3 linked regions of the Ovis aries genome follow. The protein of the gene in region 2 purifies or fractionates together with the protein of the main gene of each other region. This does not show direct contact. Links are inferred from orthologs where the notes say so. Each region holds a gene or a part of one and is shown on either strand. Other genes may lie near its edges.

Region 1 (4,099 bases), about 61 Mb from region 2:
TAGATGTGCCCTTTTGCAAAGTTAGCAGAAAAAAAAGAGAAATTGTTATGATTCTTGCAGCACAACAGGATTAAGAGAACTTTTTACCACGTGAAAAAAAATACAAAAATAGAGATAAAATTAAGACTCAATCAACAACTATTCAAACTTTTTTTTAGCCTGGTCTAGTTTGGCCTGGTCATGGGGATGGACACCCATCACCCAGCATTTTTAGGTACAACACTTTAGAAATGTAAACTTGATTTTAGTATTGGTTCCCCATGAATAATAACCAGGAAATGTACAGCTCAATGACTATTCCAGGTCTTTGACATCCAAGACTGCTGAAGGACATCTCCTTGATTATTAATAGCTCTCTCAACTCTATAGATACAGGAAGATAAATGTTACCAGAAAGTTACTGTAAAGAAAAGTCACATGGTAACTGGTATCACAACTTAACTATACTTATATTTGCATGATCCATTACTTTATTTGTAGCATTTTCTCCTTCCATGAGCAAAGACATGACGTTGACAACTTGCTTTTTATGTAGAAGAAAAAGAAATCCTGAAATGTGGATCTGCATACCACAGAGTTGGGGTCACAACCTCTTCCTTATCAACTTTGTAAAAAGCTGTAATATTACCACCAAAGCAGTGAAAATGGACATATTGTTCCACCTATCTGTCCAAATATTGTTTAAATGGTGAAGATGTCAAGTGCTTTTCTTTAACCCCTTAAAAATAAATGTACAGTTAAAACACAAGGTGTCAGAGACGCACTGGAAACTGTACTTCCCCTGTGCCTACTGATCAGCAGCTAGAATGAGTGGGACCCTTGATTCTGTTTAAGAGCTACGGTTTACCAGAAGAGCAGGCCAAATATATAATGGGTAGTGTGGGAAAGATTCACAAACCAGTTGACAGAAGAGAAGCATGGAAAGCCTGAAATTCTAGTCCCTACACGCTCAAGGTTTCCTAATCTGAAAGATAAATTACCATTTGACTGTATTTAATCAGAGCACCTAGAATCCCTACTCATTTTTTTCCTATGATAAAAAGTTAAAGACTTGCTACCAAGATTAGGACCACAAACTGAATTTTAAGATTACGCAATATCGTGTTTTTCTTTCCTTAACCTCAACTCCCACAAACCCAAACTAGATTTATAACAGAAATGCTGTGAGAAGGTTCAACCATTGGCCACAGAACCACTACTACCACTATATGCTAGAGGAAAAACTCGCTATATATTTTGTTATCTTAACTCTTAGTTCAAGCATGTCACTTCAATTTGCCATGGCAATTCCATGGAGGACACAGGAGACAGTGTATTTCTGAACCTGCTATATTTCTGTTCTTATTAAGCAGAAGGGTTTTTGAAATTAGTACCTACTGTGATACCAGTTAAGTTGAAAATGATGTCTTAAAATGTTAAAAATGAATGCAGATCTCAGTTATGGCAACTTACAGGACTTCACTTATCAACTCCAGATAATAAAAACCCTTCTACCCCAGAGAGCCTTCCTTACTCTCCTTCACTGAAAATCACTCCTTGATTTTGCGTTCTCCCTTCTACCACATCCCTGTTATCTTATATTCAGTAAGGTTTCATTATTTTTGAAGTTAATACGCTTTTCCTTTTCTCCTACTCTTCCCTGTGTCTTGATCTTTCCAACTCTTATTTTAAACGTTCAGGGGGCTCAGCTCCGCGTGCTCTCTTTAGTATTCCAGAAGGCCTAAAACTTATCTTGTAAAAAGGGCTTTAAGGTTTTGTCATAAAAAGCAGAGCTTGTTGAAGTCAAAACCTTTCTGAGCCCCTGTCTTCTCCGAGAATCAGACTAGATTATCTAAGTCCCTTCTGGCTCTTCAATTCATGAAATGCTTGCTTGAGAATGTTCTTGGGGCTGCCGATCGTCTTCAAATTCCAGCTCAAAACCTCCCTTAGAAAGCATTCCCTCACTAATCCCGATACACTGTCCTGCTCAGGGAGCCTTGCAATTTAGGAATTCAGAGGATACCCACACGTTGTCATCGGCAGATAGGCATACCGTTGGTCAAGAGGGAAAAAACACTTGACCTGAAAGAGTAGCAGGATGGAATGAGAAGGGCATCCAAACTCAAAACTGCTAAGTGCCACTCACCCGAAAGGTGACAGTGTTCACTTTACAAGATTCAATGCATACCAAAGTTCGTGTTCGAAAAATCCCTACAGGAAGCAAAGGCTAACTTTTACATTTGGGTGACTACGGATGTTTCAAACTCTTTACTCACATGCCAGAAGGCAGAATTCCTCCAAACCTTTCGTACCACGTTGCGCTCGCTCAAATGCCCCCCCATCCTCGGGTATGCCTTGGGCCTGACTCCCATCCTTGAAGGGGAATGATTGCTCACGGAAGGGGATTAAGCGCTCGGTGGGGCTCCTGCCTTACCTGGGGGCGGGAGCGGACACAAGGGCCCCCCGCCGCCAATCCTCGGCAAGTTCATTCCCCACCGTCTCCAGCCCCCAAGTCCCCCCAGCGCGGCCCCGGCGGCCCCATACACCCGGCCAGCCCCTGGGGGCCCCAGGCCCGGTCACTGCGGCCCCCCGCCCCCGGGGGCCCCCAGCTTGCCCGGGCCCGCGCACCTTGCTCTTCACCTCCATGGTGCCCAGGCAGCCGCTGCCCGCCCCGTGCCGGTGGCCGCGGTTCATCCTGAGGCCGGGCCCGCGGCGGCCTCCTCCAGCCGGGCCGCCCCTCGGGGGCGCGCGGGGCGAGTGCGCGGCCGGCGGGCTCGGGACGCGGCGGCGGCGGCGGCGGCGGCCCGGGCTCCTCCTCACAGGCACCTGCAGAGGGGCGGCCGCGGCTCGCGTCTCCGCGCCAGGCCCCGCTCGGCTGGCTCCTCACGCTGCAGGACCGAGGGTCGGACTGGCGGCGCGGCGGGCGGGGACGCGGAGCCCGCCCTCCCGGCCTCGGCGGCGGCCGCGACGGCGGAGGCGGCGGAGGGGGCGGAGCGGCGGGGACACGCGCCGCAGCCTCGCTCTCGGCTGCCGGCCCCGCGCGCGCGCGCGCTCCCTCCCCTCGGGCCGGGCCGCCGCCGCGGCGCGTGCGCGCGCTCACCTGCAGCCTCCGCCGAAGCCTCGGCAGCCCGCGCTCCGCCCCCACCCAATGGGAAGCGCGCACCTGCGCCCGCGGCGCCAACCAATCGGTACCCGCCTCGCGCCGCGCGTGGGCGGGGCCTCCTGCTCGAAAAGCCCGCCTGCCGCCGTTCGATTGGTCCCGCGCGGCGAGGGAGGGGTGGGATCACCTGAAGCCGGGAGGGGCGCTCCGGACCCCGCAGGCGAGCTCCAAAGCGCATGCGCGAGTCCTGGAGTTTCCGCCCAGCGAAGGCCGGCCGGAAGCGCGAGCGCACCTGGAGACGCGCTGGGATGGGTGGGCCTTTAGCGCACGCGCGGGCGCGCGCCTGGTTGCTCTGTACCCGGCTGGAGCTCGCGCTCCGCCGGGGCGTGGGGCACTCTTCCCGGCTAGTTGCTGGGCGCTGCGGGGCTGCAGGCTTTCTGCACCGCCTTCCACTTTGGGATGCTGCAGCCTCCTACAACGCCCCTCCGTCACCCATTTGCGTCTAGTCGTCTGGCTGCAACTCGGATTGCAAAATTCCAGTTTTCCCGCCTCTGTAACAGTAACTGGAGAAAAATCGCAGGGCTCTACTGGCTTAATGTCGTTGGTAGAGACTTTCTGCAGTCCAGTCAGGTCCCGTGGGATCGAGTAGGCGCTGGGAGGGCTGGGAAATGGGCAAAGGCCGGGGATGGATCCTCGAAGGTCCGTACTTCTAGATCGGCCCTCCAGGGATTCCCCGCCCCCCTTGTCTTTTAAATTTATGTTTAACCTTTGAGGATCTTCCTCTCCCTCCAGCCATTTCTGGGCTATTCACTGTGTCCACCAGTGACAGCCGCCAGCTTGTGTTTTGTCTGTCCCTCCTGTGGAATGACCAAGCTATGTTCTTGATAACAGAAGACTGAATCCTTCTCTTTAAATGCTCAGAGCCGAGTTTTTCCTCTCAGGGATCCTTTGCAGCACTGGCAGTGCTGGGGTGGTGAGGAGGAGAGCCCCAGAGCCCCCCACCCACCTGCAGAGGGGCTC
Region 2 (4,261 bases):
ATATGATTGCAATTTAATATATGCTTCATTAAAGGTATTGGTATAACCCCAGTACACATTTTTTTTTCATCTAACGCAGATTGGAAGTAATATTTAATGCTTTGTTTGTATCTTCCATCAGTTACTGAATCCACCTACTTGTTAGATCTCTCACATTCTTCTTCAGTTTTGTCCCGATGGTGAAAGCGTGGCTTCTCACAGCTCCAGGAGATGATGCTCCGGCAGCCTCTGTGGCTTGAGCAGTGGAACCTCAATGCCTTGCTGTCCTGTTGATCTTGTGGGGATTGAGTTCCCTGATCACTTGCTCATCCCTTGCGCACACTGGACACTCCCAGGGAGGTGGACCCCCCTCCCACCACCTCTCAGCCCCAATCCTGCCCTGCCTCATCCAACTTAGCATGCTCACCCTGTCTTTGGAGAAAAGGGGTCAGTTTTTTTGTGTCCTCCTGCTTGCCATCTTGCTAAACCCAGGTGCCAGTCAAACATCCCTGCAGCATTAGCCTCCATCACTTTCCTTCTTTTCATATGGTTTAATTTACACTGTATTCTTTCCACAGTTGTTTGACTGTTTTCAAAAACAGCATGGATAGAAAGAAACCTAATTTGAAGGTTAGAATTCTGTTATTTTTAGAATGCAGCCTCCTCAGCCCTGGAATTGATTTCATTTGGTTGTCACTGGTCTTTGTGGAGAGTGAACCTGGCTTAGGATTCACATGTAACCTAGTCAAGTTGCTTCAGTGTTGTATTACTTTGCATAAGCTTTGTCAAGGGGGCGTGAATATTTGCTGTAGATTCAGAGTTAATGCATCGCCCTTCTCAAGGTACTTCCATTGTCCTTCTGCTGTGATGGGGCTCAAAACTGCGTCAAGTGCCCTGAAATCAGTCTGAAAAGTTCTTAGTTCATAACATTGTGACTTCTCATTAAATGGCAGTGACAGTCCTTAAAGGCATATTATCTTATTTAAATTATGATGAGTTTTGCTTTCCTAAATCAGTGGGCGCAATTTTAGGACTCTAGTGGCATTTATATGTGTATATATAGGTATTATTTTAGGTGCGTTGAGAAGAATTCTTGACAAGGTACAAAATGGCATCAATTCCAAGGCACTTTTTTTTTTTTTTTCCCAAAAAGTAAGGGGAAAAAAAGAAAAGCGAGTGTCAGTAGTCTACACTTGATTTATATTTACTGTGGGAGCAATGGTTTCCCATATATCTTACACCATAAACTGAAATTTTGGTGCCAGTACCCTGGTGTGCGGTTCTATCCAGAATGGAGACAGGTTTTTGCAGGGATGTCATGTGACTGTGAGATGGGCCCCAGAGACGCTTTGTGTCAAAACAAATACTCACCTGGTCCAAATGGAGTTTGCCCCTTGTTTGTTGATTGGAGATTTTTAGTTAAGAATGGGCTCTGGTGTTCAGATGCTTGGATATGTTGATGTTATGCTGCTTCAGTCTCCTGTGTGCTGGTTCAGGCTCTGCTGTGATGTGAACAGAGCCCTGTCTTGGTGTTGGGAGGTGGTCAGAGGGCTGGGCTGGACACGCCTGAGGCCGCCAGTATGTGGGGCTGGTGACTGAAAGGTGGGGGTGCTTCTCTGGCTCACATAGCACATGTCAGACGGGTTTTCTGTTTTCCTTGTGGAGTTTTGTTGACCTGCTTTTCACTTTAGTCTGTTGATAAACAGGAAGTGCTGTTGCAGGGCTGAGAGGGGGTGTCTGAAGGACTTTTACTGTTAAGCCCATATAGGATTTCATTTTAAAAAGAGGAGAGGTGAGGGGTTGGAGAATGTAACCCAAGATAATCCCACAATCCTTAGTTTTGGGATTTTAACCAGTGTGATTTGCGGTCTTTCAAAATGCTTGTTGGATCTCGAACTGTGGGTCCACACCTGCAGCTTCTGTGGGTGGCAGCTTGCTTAAATAGTTGTTTAGAGCAAACACGAAGCTGGAGATGATGTTTGGGTTGGGGGCTTGAGTGTCCGTGATTCCCGCTCAGGTTTAGAGAGCCTCTTCTGCAGCCTGGCCCCCAGAGTTCCTGTGTGTGCGCCTCAGCTCTCCACATCCCGGTCCTGTGAAGAGAGGAGTCGGGTACAAGACAGGTGCTGAGGGGGTGTGTGTGTGTGCTGTCTGGGCTTTACTCCCCACTGTCCAAACATGCCATGTACATCTTGGCCTCCTCACCTTTGTCTGAAGACGTCCCCCACTTGAGGGGGCGTAATTCCTTTGTGAAGTGTTCTTTGTCTCTATTTGTTTTTGTAATTCCTGTACCACTTGATTGGCATTTAATTTTGATACCTAGGAATTGTTAGTGAACTTTCCACACACCTGTGGTTTCCCTCCCAAAGTTGATTTGAAGTCTTGGCGGGCACGGGCCTCCATAGACCTGGCTGGACCCCTTTATCCTAAAACACAAGCTCAACTTTGAGACTGAGTGTTAAGGTTTTCATTGGCTGGTGGCGTGTCACATGCCAGCCTGTCACCTGCAGCTGTTAAACTGGGTAATGAGAGCGCAGTGTTTTCAGTCATTAGGAGCCGCTGAGTGGATGTTCTTCCCTATCCTCGACTGTTCCTGCTGGCAGGAGTCTTTAGCTTGGATGGGCCTGTGGCCTTGCTCCCTGCTTCCTAATCTGGATGGTGCAGAGCGTGGTCCTGCTGCCATCAGGAGGCTCCCTGTGTTTGGAAAGGTGGATGGATTGACAGCTCAGAACTCTGCTACTGCCAAGACATGTGTCTGTAAACACGTGCTCAGCAGAGGATGGTGTAGGTAGGGGAGGTTAGGTAGTTTTAATTTTGTATGATGAGTTGCTTTCAAGATCAGATTATGGTGGTTGTGAAAATGCTTATCTTCCCTCCACTTTGAAAAGGAGAGCTATTTGGAGTGTGTTCAATTTTTGTGTCTGCTTGAGCAATGTGTGACCCTCAGTGACAACGTACCTCCTTCATTGCTACACACATGGCCTCGAGTGTCTGCAGGTGGGAAATGACTGCATCGTTGGGCCACTGAGTCCATGGGGTCTTTTTTTTCACTGCCTTCTCGTTGTTGCTCTTGGTAGACGGGCTACATGCCTGTGTCATTAAAGCTCTGCCTTTGTGCCCAGTCCACTGTATCTGTGCATCTTCAGTGCTTCACAAACCAGCCTTGCTTCTGTTTTGCTGTCTTCCCACCCTGCCTGATAAGTTTATAGTGACATGTCTTACTGTTGTTTGAGGTAGTCCATTTCATGCTTTAATTACTAGTTGTATAATTAGGTTTTGCCTGAGTTCCCAAACAGCTAATTTGTTTCTTTGCATCCATGCAGGATTTTTATCGGAGACTTTAGGTATGATGCAGAATATGTTGGGTCTGTGCCTGCTATATTTCCTGTTTTAGTGCTTCGATTGCACAGCTTAGCATTTTGTTTTGTTTCTTTGGGAACACTGTGCACTATATTTTCTTAGAAGTAGTACATTGAAGGCACAGTTAACTAAATTTCAAATGCCTCATAACGGAAAACTTTACAAGGACAGCAAACTAACTGTGTATCTAAGGGATTAGGAAACGATATGGCGTTAACCTCTATAATCTGCTCACATATTTCATAAGGTATCTTGAAGCCCTTTCTTTCAAATTCCCCCATTTCAAATCAATTTGAAATTGACCAGATAAAGCCAGATAAGTTTGTGAGTCACACTAGGGATTTTCAAGGAAAAATTTTAAGTGCGAACACACTTGGAAACCTATGAGTTAGCAAAGGAATACAAATTGACCTTTGGTATTGGGTCACCAGTAACACCGATGAGTTTTAGGGTGTGGGGCTGTGTTTAAGTGACTTGGGGCTAGGGACCATTTGCTGCTGTAACCCTGTGTCTGTTCAGTGCCTGCCATCGAGTAGATGCTCCTTGAGTGTGTGAATCAGGTCCTGAGGCTTGATTAGGGTGATACTGTAAACATGCACATCTTCCAGACACTGTTGTGAGTGCCGTGGAGAGACAGGGCAGGAGACAAAATGAGACTGGAGGCTGCTGCTGTGCAGGGTAGATGTTAGCAGGCACTGACATTTGGGTGAGCTTTCCCCGGGGTTTCCAGGAGGGGCCCAGCGAGCTATAGCAAGTCCGAGTGACAAGGAGACCCCGTGCATTCACTGGCCCGGGTCTCGGTGTTCGTGGTGACTGTGTGCTTTGTCTGTCTGTCGCTCTCTTCTCTGCTGAAAATCATCCTAAAAGCTGATGCAGGTTCCTCGCCTGCACATATGTCCAAGGTAATGAGACTTGGAGAGGACTC
Region 3 (3,646 bases), on a different chromosome or scaffold from region 2:
CGTATGAGATCATCTTCCTGAAAAACTCAGTGTTTCCTTTAGTGAGAACAACTAGTGATGGATTTCTTTATTTTTTGTTTTTTTGAAAATGTGTTTATTTCACTTTCATTTTGAAGGGTATTTTTACAGGCTTTAGGATTATAGAACATCGGGAGTGGGGGGGTTTAGGCCCTTTAAAAGGTGACATTCCACTGTTTTCTGGCTCTGTCATTTCATTCAGACTTAGTATTGTTTATGTGAAGAAACTGTTACCTTCACTCCATTTGATTCTTTTATGGTTTCCTATTAACCATACTTAGTCTATACATTGTTTTATCTTTTTTTACCATTTTCTGCATTCTTAATCTGCCCTAATCTGGTTTTTTTCACTCCTTTTTATTTATCCTTGTTTCCCAAGTCAGATTATTATTTCTACATTTTCTTTTGAATCATCATTCTCCTTCAGTTTTCATAATCCTCTCCCCCCCACCCCCGCATTGGTGCTTACTAGTTTCTTTCTGAAAGTTGCTCCTTGCTTTTGTTTATATACTTTACTTCAGAGAATTCACACTTAATTCTCATGCGTACATCTGTTGGTTGTATGCTGACAATTTTGCAGGCATCTAATAAAAGATTATCTTTCGTCTTCTTTGTGAAGAATCAGAAGCCTAAGTTTCTGGTTCTGAATGAATTACAGGGCTGTCATCCCAAAGGAGCCTTGATATTGTGTAAATAAGAATGTTTTACATTAGCTGAGCTGCCTCATGCTTGCTTTCTGCGTATAGTTTTAACTCAGCTTTCATACATTAAGCTCCTAGCTGACTCATCTTGATGTCTCACTTGTAACTTCTAACTTCAGTGTGAAAAACTGAGCTCATTATCTCATCAACTCTGCCAATCTTATTCTGTGTGCATACTTTCTTTTTCTATCAGTGATGTCTCCAATCTCCTGGTCACCAAAGTTAGTGTCTTTTTTTTTTTTTTTTAATGCTTCTATCTTCATTGCCTCCATACCCCAAAGTTATCAGATTCTTTTAAAGACATCTTTTAAAGTTTCTCAGGTTTCAGCTTCTTCTCCATTCCAAACATCACCCCTCTGATCTCAACTCATGAATTTATCCTATCTCTTAAGTAGTGCAATTGTATCATTTGGGTTGATATAAGAAAATAATTAAGAATTTAAATCAGAAAATATTTACAAATCTTACAGGTGTATCTGGGTGTTAGAAGTATATTGTGTTATGCAAAATACTTCAGGTATAGCTCTTTGATATAAATGTTCTCAACAGGCAATGAACACCAGGGAAAGCGGCAAAGCTTCTTCCAGTTTAGGTCTTCAGGATTTTGATTTGCTCCGAGTAATAGGAAGAGGAAGTTATGCTAAAGTACTGTTGGTGCGATTAAAAAAAACAGATCGTATTTATGCAATGAAAGTTGTGAAAAAAGAGCTTGTCAATGATGATGAGGTGAGCACAACGATGTTTTATTGCCTCTAAACTATTACATTGGCTTAAGTGTATGATATCAGAAAAAATGTCAGTGTTTGTGCCTTACTGTTTTAGTGTGCTTTTCTAAATACATGCTTCAGACTGCTTAATATATAAGATATATTTAAAGTTGTCTGATGATTATTAGATTTAAAAAAATAAACATCAAACCATATTATTATCAAGGGAGAGTACTTGAGCTTTGTAAAAGTTTGCTAGACTCTTTAATAATATTGAAAGATTTGCTGGGTAGTAGTTTCTCTTTGTATATAAATTATTATTTCATGATTATCGATGTTTCTGATGTTTAGCCCAGTTAGTCAATAGTTGCATTTATGGTAATAGAATTACTAAGAACAAATTTGCCATAGTTTTGATACTGTCATTCTAGTTTGACATAAATTTCCTTCATATTTTAAAATAGGATATTGACTGGGTACAGACAGAGAAACATGTTTTTGAACAGGCGTCCAATCATCCTTTTCTTGTTGGGCTGCATTCTTGCTTTCAGACAGAAAGCAGGTAAGATTGAAAGATAATGGAATGATTCCTGGGTTTGACACAATAAGAACATTTTGGTCTATTATACAGTAAGAACCTATTTTACAGTAATTCCTGAAGTGGAAATCACATGGAGACACAACAGTACTGTGTTTATAATTGCCGGCAACTCCTGTTGGATCAGCATTAGGAAATTACCTGCTTTACACCAAAAAAAAGTCAGAATTATGACAGGAGAAAGTAGATATCCAACCTTTTAAATATCACCAAAATTCTAGTTTTAGGACTTAAAATTTCCTAGAGTTTAATTAGGTGGTAAATCCTAACTTCTTTCACTTTAAATGACGATTGGAAATGACTTATACTGCACATTCTAAAATTGGATTGGGGTGGGAGTTCTGGATTGTAAGTGGCACTACTCCAGAATGAAAGTAGCAAGTTACAAAATTACTATCTTTCTGGTTTACTTTCTTGTATCCTCTGTGGTTAAACAGCTTTCTCCTCCAGTCACCCTTTGTTTCCACCAAATTCCTGGAATATTTGTTGAGGGTTTATCTTGTAGAGCTCTCTGTACTGTGACTGGTCTCTGTAGTGTTTAAACTGCAGACGTGAACACAGCCTTATTTTGGATCTTGGTTTCACGTGTTCTCTCCTGTGTTTTAGATTGTTCTTTGTTATAGAGTATGTTAATGGAGGAGATTTAATGTTTCATATGCAACGACAAAGAAAACTTCCTGAAGAGCATGCCAGGTAAGTTTTGTGTTTATTGTTTCTTTGTGTTGGATTTTGGTAGGAGTAGTTCTGGGACTTTTTGTATGTCGGTGGTTGAAAACAGTAGATAAATCATTTATTTTGATTCCAACTAATTCTCTGTAAGTTATGTAGAGGCTGAGCTGAAAATTAATTTACATTTTAATATTATATATATAGCATTATATATTACATATAGAATAATCTAATTATAAGCAGTTGAGAGGTATAAACAGTATTCAAGGGGAAGCCTTCAGTCGACTAAGCTCAATTATTTTCAAATATTTTGCCTATTCAGTATCAGCCACTGAAATAATGAATGAATATATAAACATATTAATCTTATTATGCAATGATCTCTGACAGTTTTTCGTTAGAAGATGATTGTTGGGACTTCCCTGGCGGTCCAGTGGTTAAGACTCTGCGCCCTTAATGCCGGGGGCATGGGTTCAATCCCAGGGAACTAAGATCCCTCTGGCATGCCTCACAGCACAGCCAATAAAATGAAATAAAATAGAATAAAGGTTATTGTTCATATATACTTGAGCGTAATGAAACAATTCCTCTTAACCTATGATGTAATTCGGACTGTTCTTCCATAGTTATAGTTTCTGAATTATTCTGCCTTTGGCATTCCCCCCTCTTACTCCATATATGTTGATTAATAAGAGAAAGAGTATTAAATATCATTTGTTTTGCCCTTAATTTGATATTATTATACAAGATAGTAAATAGTTTTTCGAGGACTTTGGTGGGGAAGGATCATGGCCTTGGATAAGAAGTTTAATCCGTCAGTGCCATATTTTGTTTTGTTTTTTACTCATAATTAGAAATAATTCTACCCTTCTGCACTTCACGAGAGTAATGCCAAAAGGAAGCAAGTGAGTTTGTATGTGTATTTAACAAAGGTTGGAGACTCATTTTAAAAA

The links.
Region 1: the proteins of PARD3 (region 2) and PARD6B purify together in Homo sapiens (affinity purification with mass spectrometry; 5 studies listed by BioGRID and IntAct, counting the BioPlex papers as one, with this or other methods). This does not show direct contact. The link is inferred for Ovis aries from reciprocal best matches to the Homo sapiens genes PARD3 and PARD6B.
Region 3: the proteins of PARD3 (region 2) and PRKCI purify together in Homo sapiens (affinity purification with western blotting; 5 studies listed by BioGRID and IntAct, with this or other methods). This does not show direct contact. The link is inferred for Ovis aries from reciprocal best matches to the Homo sapiens genes PARD3 and PRKCI.

Annotation. Positions count from the first base shown.
Region 1 is NC_056066.1:78,706,361-78,710,459, reverse strand, and holds the start of PARD6B (partitioning defective 6 homolog beta), read right to left. Parts: upstream 2,890-4,099; 5' UTR 2,674-2,889; coding exon 2,608-2,673; intron 1-2,607. UniProt on the Homo sapiens protein: Adapter protein involved in asymmetrical cell division and cell polarization processes. Probably involved in formation of epithelial tight junctions.
Region 2 is NC_056066.1:17,894,935-17,899,195, forward strand, and holds the start of PARD3 (partitioning defective 3 homolog), read left to right. Parts: upstream 1-1,400; 5' UTR 1,401-4,261. UniProt on the Homo sapiens protein: Adapter protein involved in asymmetrical cell division and cell polarization processes. Seems to play a central role in the formation of epithelial tight junctions. Targets the phosphatase PTEN to cell junctions.
Region 3 is NC_056054.1:217,793,425-217,797,070, reverse strand, and holds part of PRKCI (protein kinase C iota type), read left to right. Parts: intron 1-1,268; coding exon 1,269-1,445; intron 1,446-1,890; coding exon 1,891-1,988; intron 1,989-2,630; coding exon 2,631-2,717; intron 2,718-3,646.